2 linked regions of the Caenorhabditis elegans genome follow. The protein of the gene in region 1 purifies or fractionates together with the protein of each later gene. This does not show direct contact. Each region holds a gene or a part of one and is shown in the gene's direction. Other genes may lie near its edges.

Region 1 (5,419 bases):
ATATTATTTTCCACAGCGCCTCAGATCGGGAGAGAAGAGCTAAAGAAGTGGTTTTGGCGCGGGAGCGCGTTTGCTGCAGACGTCGCACGAATTGGAATTAATGTGTAACAAAACAGTAAAATATCGCGTTTTTGCTGGATTTTAGGGATTTTAAAGCAATTTTCAACATGCGGGACCGCCCAGAGACTGTTCGCGATGCGATTTACTTCATTTTAATATAAATTTTCCCCCAAATAAGCTCGAAATGAGCTCTGAATTTCGGCGGATCTGAAAATTTTTTTTGACCAAAAACAGAATTTTGCAAATAAAAATTGATTTTAGAGCAATTTATTGCATAAATATTCAATTTTAGAATTTTTACTAATAGTTTGAATCTTTTTAAAGTGTTTTAGTCATTAATTTGACTGATAACACAGAAAATGATTTTTCTTTACAACGAAATCGATAAAAAAGTAAAGCAACATTTATCAAGGGAAATCTTGCAAAATTGGTTAAAAAACTTGTATGAAATCAAAGATTTCACTAGAATAAAGCTACAAATCAATCAAAATCACTAAAAGTACAAATAGTTCTGATCAAATTTCAATGTTCCAATCTACCAATGGATCTATGCCACGCCAAATTTCTTATGCAAGTGTTGCTCTCCAATTTTCCTTAAAAAATGGATCAAATACTCACATAAATGATCAAATTAACATTTTTTACAAGTTTCGTGTTATATTTTCTTTTTCTTAATAAGGAACCATCAGGTTCTTCCTGCCCTCTACGGCTCTAGATACCTCAACTTCGACAACTCCTATCTACTCGGAGAGGTGAGAGAACTTGTAGAGCACATCAAAAACTATGATATTCAATTTAACCTGCGTTTTTATCTTTCAAGATGGGGGAGTTAGACGTACATTTGTATTGCATGCTTTTTGTTATTCTACTGGCTGCTCTAACTCCCTCATCTTAAGAGATAAACACATGATTTTAACTAATTAGTATAGTTTCTACAATTTCCTAGTTAATCACTTTTTGATATCTTGCATCTCTGAGGAGATAGGAGTTGTCGAAGATACAGTATCTATAGCTATGCGCATATGAAGAATCTAATGGATTCTCATCATGCTATACTACTTATCATCTGCTTTTTGTGGGAAACAATGATTCAAAAATGTTTTTTCAAATGATCAAACAAGTTGTGATTTGATCTGAACATTTAGTGTTGGTTTAGTGAAGATCAGCTGCCAACTAAACAGTTTCCGTTGATGTGGGCATTTTTGAACAATTTCAAGACGTGAAACCGTGTTATCTCTATCAAGCTGACGTTTAAAAATTGGAATCAAACATATTAATGCTTGAAAAAATTTGTTTCGCGTAGAAATTTTGTCATAAAGTTAACTTGTTCTAGTCGGTTCGAAAATCAATGAAAAAGCAGCCAAATCGTGAATTTGTTGAATAAAATGTTTTTTAAAACTTTTTTAAAGCAATAATAATCCCAATATTTAATTATTTTTTCCAAATTTCATCTTGAAAACTCGAATAATCGCGAAATTTCGTCTGAAACTCATTTAATACCGTAAAAGTGTGCAAACGCGCTCCGTTGGACTTTCCTATTCTCGATTTTCTTAACTCTCCCGATTTGAGGCGCTGTGTTTTCCTGTTAAAATGCGTTTGTCAACGTTGACAACTCAACTACGGTTGCCAATGCGTGTTTGCGTACACACTCGATCCCACGCGCAACTGCATACGCCGCGTTGGTTTTAATTCCATCTTTTTTAAATTTATTTTCGGCGTTTGTATTGATTTTTGCTGTGTATTCCTTTAACATGAACTGATTTTTGTCCATGATAACTTTTGAACAACTTAATATTCATTATCGCATTTTTCTTACATTTATTTCCAGGTAATCATCCGAACAATTATGAAATCTCTAGTTATCTTTCTGTCAGCTATCGTTCTTGCCCATTCTCTGAGGTTCTACGTGCCACCAAAAGAGAAAAAGTGTCTGAAAGAGGAAATTCACAAGGTAAATACTTTTACAACTCCTTGTTACCATAGCAGTAAAGATGTCAAACATACTTTTTTTCGTTAAAAATTGATATATTTAATAAACATCAGAATTTATGTCTAATAAAACCTCTTGCAGAATGTGGTCGTAACAGGAGAATATGAGTTCAGTCAAGGAATTCAATACACTGGAAGTATTCACGTGAGTAAAAATAGTTTCAAAATTACTTCAAATTTTTAATTTATTTTCAGGTCACCGACACCAGAGGCCACACTCTCTACAAACGTGAAAACTTTGCTGATCTAAAAGGAAAATTCGCGTTCACTGCTGACGAATACGACATCTTTGAGATTTGCATTGAGAATCATCCACCAGCTGGGCATCCTGGAGAGAAGCGCGAGGTTTCTCTTATTTTGAAGCACGGAGTCGAAGCCAAGAATTATGATGATATTGCCAAAGCCGAGAAGCTGAAGCCACTCGAGGTTGAACTTAGAAGATTGGAGGATATGGCTGATTCAATCACCAAAGATTTCGCATTCATGCGCCAAAGAGAGGAAGAAATGAGAAATACGAACGGTAAGTGTTTAAAAAATCATTTGAATCATATAAAAGGTTCGTAATTATTTTAATTTAAAAATAATGCATTGCCGATTATCCAAGTACAGTGCTCCACATAATGATACGGCCACCCCCAAATTTTGGTATAACTCAAAACTGGGTTGAGATAGCAAAACATAATTTCTTGTGAAAATGTCCGCTGTACTGGCTAACTTTCAGATAAGTATTGGAAATATACATGAACCGTTCGTAAAAAAAGATAAACCATTTTTTCATGAAAATCCATATAAAAAAATCCACAAAATGATACGGCCACCCTTGGTTATTGTTTTCTTTTTTCGTTTTCTTTGCAATTTTTTTTGCTAAACGTTAGGTTTCATGTTCGTTTGTGTTTTTACAGCTATGTGTCGTGGAATAACTTTAACTGACTACGGAAAAAGACAAATTGTGCAAAATTATCTCAAGGCTTTTCGGATCGTCAGATTTCTCGTGATTTGAAACGTTCGAGAGATATGATCATTCGATATGCTTCAAATCCTGCCGCTCATTGCACCAAACAGTCTTCTGGTCGCCCACCACTTCTTTCTGGTAGAGACAAGCGAAAAATCGTTCGTCGAGCATCAAATTGAACAGTGACTTTCTCAAAAATTAGGCGCGAGATGAACCTGCCAGTGTCTGTTGAGACTGCACGACGTGTTCTTTCGAATTCCCAGTTTATCAAAAGACGAAAATTGAGAAAGGCTCCTTTCATTACCGAAAAAACCGCTAAAATCGTATTCAGTTAGCTAAAATCAGCCAGAGAACTAACTGGAGACAAGTGAAGATTACCGTATGATCATTCAAGCCCAATTTTGGTTTTAGTTCATCTTTTCTTCTCTCAAATCGTACCAGTAATCACGGTAGCCTTCTGGTTCATCACAGTTAAACTTTTCCTCGTCACTGAAGATGATCTGAGACCAATACATGAGCTTGAATGATCATACCGTAATCCTCACTTGTCTCCAGTTAGTTCTCTGGCTGATTTTAGCAAACTGAATACGACTTTGGCAGTGTTTTTCGGTAATGAAAGGAGCCTTTCCTAATTTTCGTCTTTTGATAAACTGAGACTTCGAAATAACACGTCGTGCAGTCTCAACAGACACTGGCAGGTTCATCTCGCGCCTAATTTTTGAGCAAGTCACTGTTCAATTGGATGCTAGACGAACGATTTTTCGCTTGTCTCTACCAGAAAGAAGTGGTGGGCGACCAGAAGACTTTTTGGTGCAATAAGTGGCAGGATTTGAAGCAAATCGAGTGATCATATCTCTTGAACGTTTCAAATCACGAAAAATCTGACGATCCGAAAAGCCTTGAGATAATTTTGCACAATTCGTCTTTTTCCGTAGTCAGTTAAAGTTATTCCACGACACATAGCTGTAAAAACACAAACGAACATAAAACCTAACGTTTAGCAAAAAAAAATTGCAAAGAAAACGAAAAAAGAAAACAAAAACCAAGGGTGGCCGTATCATTTTGTGGATTTTTTTATATGGATTTTCATGAAAAAATGGTTTATCTTTTTTTACGAACGGTTCATGTATATTTCCAATACTTATCTGAAAGTTAGCCAGTACAGCGGACATTTTCACAAGAAATTATGTTTTGCTATCTCAACCCAGTTTTGAGTTATACCAAAATTTGGGGGTGGCCGTATCATTATGTGGAGCACTGTATTAAGCTTTTATTATCATTGTTAATTAAATAGATTTGTAAGGCTACAACATATCGTTTCGAGACGCAATTCATTCTCTTCACGGAGCAGGATATTGTGATCCCTGGAAATTGTTTACCACTTTACTTGAGCAAACTCTAATTATTCGATTCATCGACAACCATCTATTTTTTACTTTTTTTTACAGAATCGACAAACAGCCGAGTTCTTTACCTGTCCATCTTTTCAATGCTGTGCCTTCTTGGTCTTGCCATTTGGCAAGTTCTTTTCCTCCGTAATTACTTCAAGTCGAAAAAGCTTATCGACTAGATTTCCCCAACCCTTAATTTATGATTAATTTATCAATTTTTTTTTCGGTTCTCCTCAACTTCTTGCTTTTCCCCCAACATCTCTTTTGTCCACACACCCAAACGTTTCATGTGATTTCTAATTGGTTCCCACATCTTTTTTACTAGATAATGATGATAATGAGTATTTTATTTTGTTGGATTTTAGTTGTTTCCTCCCCCGTTAATCTGCACAAGTATCAACAAAGGGTAAAATGTATAGTGTGTAATGTTTCCGTCTTATTTTTCTGTTTTCATCATTGCCGTTTTTTAAAATCATTATTATGAACTTTTAAATTGAAACATTGAAACATCAATTGGTAATTTACTCACCATATGGTGATTTAGTAAAGTACATAAGATCACTTTTCAAGAAGTCTTTTTCAGACGTCATCCTTTCAGAAATAACTTCAGACTTCATTCTCCACCAGTTCACTTACAACAATGATCGGTCTACATATTTTCCACTACGCCGGCTTTTTCGGAGCACAAATCTTCAATACTGTTCTGGCAATATTAATTGTGAAAAGAGCTGGAAAACTGTTTGGTAGTTACCGTCATGTTATGTTTGTATTCACATTTTGTTCGATGTTGTACTCTGCAGTAGAGATAATTGCACAGCCGGTACGATACAATAGAAAATTGGAACTTGAAATTGAAATTTTGAGAATGTTACTTCAAATAATCGTCTTTCAGGTACTATACATGAAAGGTCCAATGTTTGTCGTGTTTCTTGATAATAACGTTTTTTCTCAAGGCATTGGAAATGTAGTTGCTTGTTAGTTTTAAACATTTTACTTTTCATAGAACTCTTAAACAAAAAATGAATTT
Region 2 (4,795 bases), on another chromosome or scaffold:
AACCGAGAGAACTTAAGCTTTTTGTGTCGATTTCCGTGTAAATTATCACATTTCAAAATGCGGCCGGGTCTCGCCACGATTTGCCCGCCGCTGTGTCACGGGGTACGGTGGATGGCGAGAACCACGTCACTGTGCGAGAAATCTAGATTCCAATCTTTTTCCGGCGATTTACGTGGATTTTTGCCGGTTTTCAGCGGATTTTTTCGTTTTTTCGTGGGTTTTTGAGGTTAAAAATTGATTTTTGAAGCTTTTAAAGCTATATTTCAGTCGAAAAAGCGGCAAAAATCGATAAAAAACAGGTAGAAAGAGTGAAAAGTGACGTGGCGTTGAATTAGGTCAATTTAAATCAATTTGTCGTTGAAAATTGGGTTTTACAGCTTTAAAGCCTAGATTTCTGTCAAAAAATCAATAAAAACCAGGCGAAATGAGAGAATTTTGTGAAAAATCAAGTTTCGCAACTTTTTCCGTAGTTTTCTGTGGATTTTTGCGATTTTTTTCCATTAGAAATTCGATTTTCTGTGTTTTTTGCAGAAAAAGTTACAGTTTTTGCTGAAAAATGCGATTTTTTCAGGCAAAAACGACAAAAAATCCCATTATCAGCAGAATTTTGGTGGTTTTCTCAGTATTTTTTTCTGAAAAATGCAATTTTTTCAGCCAAAACTGGCAAAAATTGCATTATTAGCAACAATTTGTGTGATTTTTCAGATTTCTAGCTGAAAAATGCAATTTTTTTCAGCTAAAACTAACAAAAATCGCATTTTTTGTGGATTTTTGCAACTTTTCGCGTTTTTTTTTCCATTAAAAATTAAGTTTTAAGGCAAAAAAAGCGAATTTTCGCGGGGTTTTACCACAAAAAAAAACCGAGGGAAAGGCGAATTTTGCATACAATTGTCCAAAAAATTGAATTTTTTCAATTTTTTTACAAGAACAGTCAGAAAATTTGCATTTTTAGTAAAAAATTTGGCATTTTTTACTGAAAAAATGGAAAAAATCGATTGAAAATGGGGATTTTTAGCCGAAAATTTGGAAATTTTCAGTAAAAATCTGATTTTTTTAGCTTAAAAACCGATATTTTTCGATTTTTAAGCTAAAAAATTGATTTTTTCAGTGAAAAATGGAAAAAATCGATTGAAAATGGGGATTTTTAGCCGAAAATTTGGAAATTTTCAGTAAAAATCTGATTTTTTAGCTTAAAAACCGATATTTTTCGATTTTTAAGCTAAAAAATTGATTTTTTCAGTGAAAAATGGAAAAAATCGATTGAAAATGGGGATTGTTAGCCGAAAATTTGGAAATTTTCAGTAAACACCTAATTTTTAGGTTAAAAGCCGGGATTTTCCGATTTTTACGCCAAAAAACGGAATTTTTGACTAAAAAATCGGGTTTTCAGCTGGATTTCGAAGAGTTTTAGGGTTAAAAATGGTCAAAAATTCAATTTTTCTGATGTTTTTGATTTTTCTGATGTTTTTGAGCATTTTTCATGCTTCAGAGTGATTTTCTTGTCATTTACAGCGTTTTTTGATGATTTTTATCCATTTTCTGACGTTTTTGGGCATTTTTCATGCTTAAAGGCGATTTTCGGGGGTTTTCCAGCGTATTTTGACGATTTTTATTCATTTTCTGGCGTTTTTCGATGATTTTCGATGATTTTTCACAGAAAAATGCGATTTAGCTGGAAAATTCAATTTTTTCACAAATTTTTTTTTAAAACGTGAACTTTCTCTACTTTTTTCTTTCTTTTCCCCACAAAAAACCCGAATTTCCAGCTCCTCCACAATGAGCTCCGGAGAGCAACCATGCTACACACTCATCCACGTGCCCAGTGACGCTGAGCTCCCATCAGAAGCTCAATTGAAGGAAAAATTCGAGAAAGGAGGCGATAAAGAGCGAATTGAGGCGCTCAAAAAGCTCATTTACATGATTTTAAACGGAGAAAAAACGTCGCAGAGCATGCTAATGTACGTCATCCGCTTCTGTCTTCCATCCAATGAGCACACCCTTAAAAAAGTGCTCTTGATCTTCTGGGAATGTGTTCCGAAGACGGATTCCAATGGAAAGCTGCTCCACGAGATGATTCTGGTGTGCGATGCCTACCGAAAAGACCTTCAACACCCGAATGAGTTCGTTCGCGGTTCGACCCTTCGGTTTTTGTGCAAACTCCGTGAGCCCGAGCTTCTCGAGCCGCTTATGCCGGCGATTAGAGCTTGTTTGGAGCATCGGCACTCGTATGTTCGTCGTAACGCTGTCTGCGCGATTTTCACTATTTATAGTGAGTTTTTTTGGGCTTATTTAGGCCTGAAATGGGCTTGAAAATGCGAAAAATGACTTTTTTCCAAGAATTTTCACCTTTTATTGCATATTTTACGTTATTTAGTTGATAAAAGGTACATTTATTGCAAAAAATCGCATTTTTAGCTGAAAATTGGCGAATTTTTCAGCCAAGAACGGCTAAAATCGCATTTTTAGCCGAAATTTGAGGGTTTCTTAAGATTTTTGATTTTTTGCTCCAAAATGCGATTTTCTAGGCTCATTTTCGGTGAAATTTGCGATTTTTTGCGAAAAAATCCCTTTATTAGCTGAAAATTGGCGAATTTTTCAGCCAAAAATGGCAAAAATCGCATTTTTAGCCGAAATTTGAAGGTTTCTTCAGTTTTTTTTGGTGAAAATTGCGATTTCTCATGTTTTTTGAGCTGAAAAATACGATTTTTTACAATTTTTATGCCAAAAAACACATTTTTAGCTGAAAATGCGATTTTGTCAGCCAAAAATGGCAAAAATCCCATTTTCAGCTAAAATTTGGGGTTTTTTTTTCAGTTTTTTTGCTGAAAAATACGATTTTTCATGATTTTTCAAGAAAAATCACATTTCCAACGAAATTCTGACTATTTTTCGCTGAAAAACGGCAAAAATGCCAATATTCAGCTGAAAAATGAGCATTTTGTCTGATTTTTGTTGCCAAAAATCGATTATTAAGCTGGAAGATGGAAAAAAAATTCGACTTTTTGATGTTTTAAGCTAAAAATACGTAAAATTTCGTTATTTTAAGCAGAAAAATCGAATTTTTCAGGGAAAAACCTGAAAAACTTGCAGATTTCCAGCTAAAAATGTCATATTTTCTGCAAAAAAACCAGGAAAAATCGTATTTTTCAGCTAAAAATGCGAGTTTGGTCTTGAAATGCACCTTAATTAACGAAAAATCAATGGAAATATGCAATAAAAGGTGAAAATTTGAGAAAAAACCAACTTCGGGACCGGAAAATTGACCAAAATTAATGATTTTAGCTAAAATTAGGTGATTTTTTCGCATTTTTTGATCATTTTTTCCCCGTTTAATCCAAAAATCCCGCTTTTTTTCCAGAAAACTTTGAATTCCTGATCCCAGACGCACCGGAGCTCGTCACAGAATACCTTGAACAGGAGCAAGATGCTTCGTGCAAGCGTAACGCTTTTATGATGCTCCTTCACGTAGATCAAGCTCGTGCTCTTGACTATTTATCGGGATGTATCGATCAAGTCGGATCTTTTGGAGATATATTGCAGCTCGTTATTGTTGAACTCATTTATAAGGTGCATTCTGTGGAAAATTGACTGAAAATATCGATTTTTTGAGAAAAAACCCGTAAAAATGGGGTTTTTTTCGTTGAAAATCGAAGAATTTTCATTAAAAACGGCGATTTTCAAGAAAATTGCGGTTTTTTAAGGAAAAATCTGACAAAACCCTGTAAAAATGGGGTTTTTTTTTTTGTTAAAAAACGGAGAATTTCCATTAAAAACGGCACTTTTTTTATGAAAATTAACTGAAAATGTGAATTTTAGAGTAAAAAAGCTATAAAAATGGCGTTTTTTCGTTGAAAAATGGAGAATTTACATTAAAAACGGCGATTTTCAAGAAAATTGATTGAAAATATCGATTTTTTGAGAAAAACTTGTTAAACAGGCTATTTTTGTTTTAAAAAAACGGAGAATTTTCATTTAAAACGTCGCTTTTTATGAAAATTGAATGAAAATATGAACTTTTAAGCAAAAATCTCAGAAAAATCGTGAAAATCTAGAAATTTCACTATAAAAATGTGTGAAAATCGATTTTTAATTTTAAAATTAACTAAAAATTGGTTTTTTCAACGAAAATACGATAAATTTATCGAAAAATATGATTTTCCTCCAATTTTAACCGAAAAAACTGAAAAAAAATGGCCGAAATCATCCAAAAACTCCAATTTTCTTTCAGGTTTGCCACAATAATCCAAACGAGGCTTCCCGATTCATCAGATGTGTCTACAATCTTCTTCAGTCATCATCACCAGCCGTTAGGTGAGGAAAATCTTGGAAAAATGACGGATTTTCCTGGAAAAAATGGACAAAAAATCGCCAACACCATAAAAATTGTGCGATTTTAGCGAAAAAACTGGAAAATTACGATTTTTAGACCCCAAAACCTTAAAAATTCAGCGATTTTCTCGAAAAATAGCCTGAAAAAATGAAAAATGTTGAGTTTTTTTTTTTCGAAAAAAATGCTCCAAAACCTGGAAATTGTGCAATTTTTTCGTTAATAAGCTGAAAAATAATTAAATCTTTATTTTTTCTTGAAAAACCTATCAAAATTCTCAAAAAAATCGAGTTTTAGACGCCAAAAGCCCCAAAACCGTGAAAATTTCGCGTTTTTCTGAAAAAAAAAAAGATAAAAAGTTAGAAAATTACCGTCTTTAGACCCCGAAATCTTGAAAATTCCGCGATTTTTGTCAAAAAAAAATAGGCGAAAAATCAGATAATTGCAGTTTTGAGACCTCCAAAACCT

Evidence for each region. The genes of interacting proteins can lie anywhere in the genome.
Region 2: the proteins of tmed-10 (region 1) and copb-1 fractionate together in Caenorhabditis elegans (co-fractionation; one large-scale study listed by BioGRID). This does not show direct contact.

What each region holds. Positions count from the first base shown.
Region 1 is NC_003283.11:11,323,434-11,328,852, reverse strand, and holds tmed-10 (GOLD domain-containing protein), read left to right. Parts: upstream 1-1,888; 5' UTR 1,889-1,906; coding exon 1,907-2,011; intron 2,012-2,131; coding exon 2,132-2,194; intron 2,195-2,244; coding exon 2,245-2,569; intron 2,570-4,449; coding exon 4,450-4,571; 3' UTR 4,572-4,888; downstream 4,889-5,419. Other genes in the region: str-141 (Serpentine receptor class r-10), read left to right, coding at 5,033-5,212, 5,285-5,366.
Region 2 is NC_003280.10:3,077,030-3,081,824, forward strand, and holds the start of copb-1 (Coatomer subunit beta), read left to right. Parts: upstream 1-1,766; 5' UTR 1,767-1,776; coding exon 1,777-2,269; intron 2,270-3,358; coding exon 3,359-3,567; intron 3,568-4,228; coding exon 4,229-4,311; intron 4,312-4,795.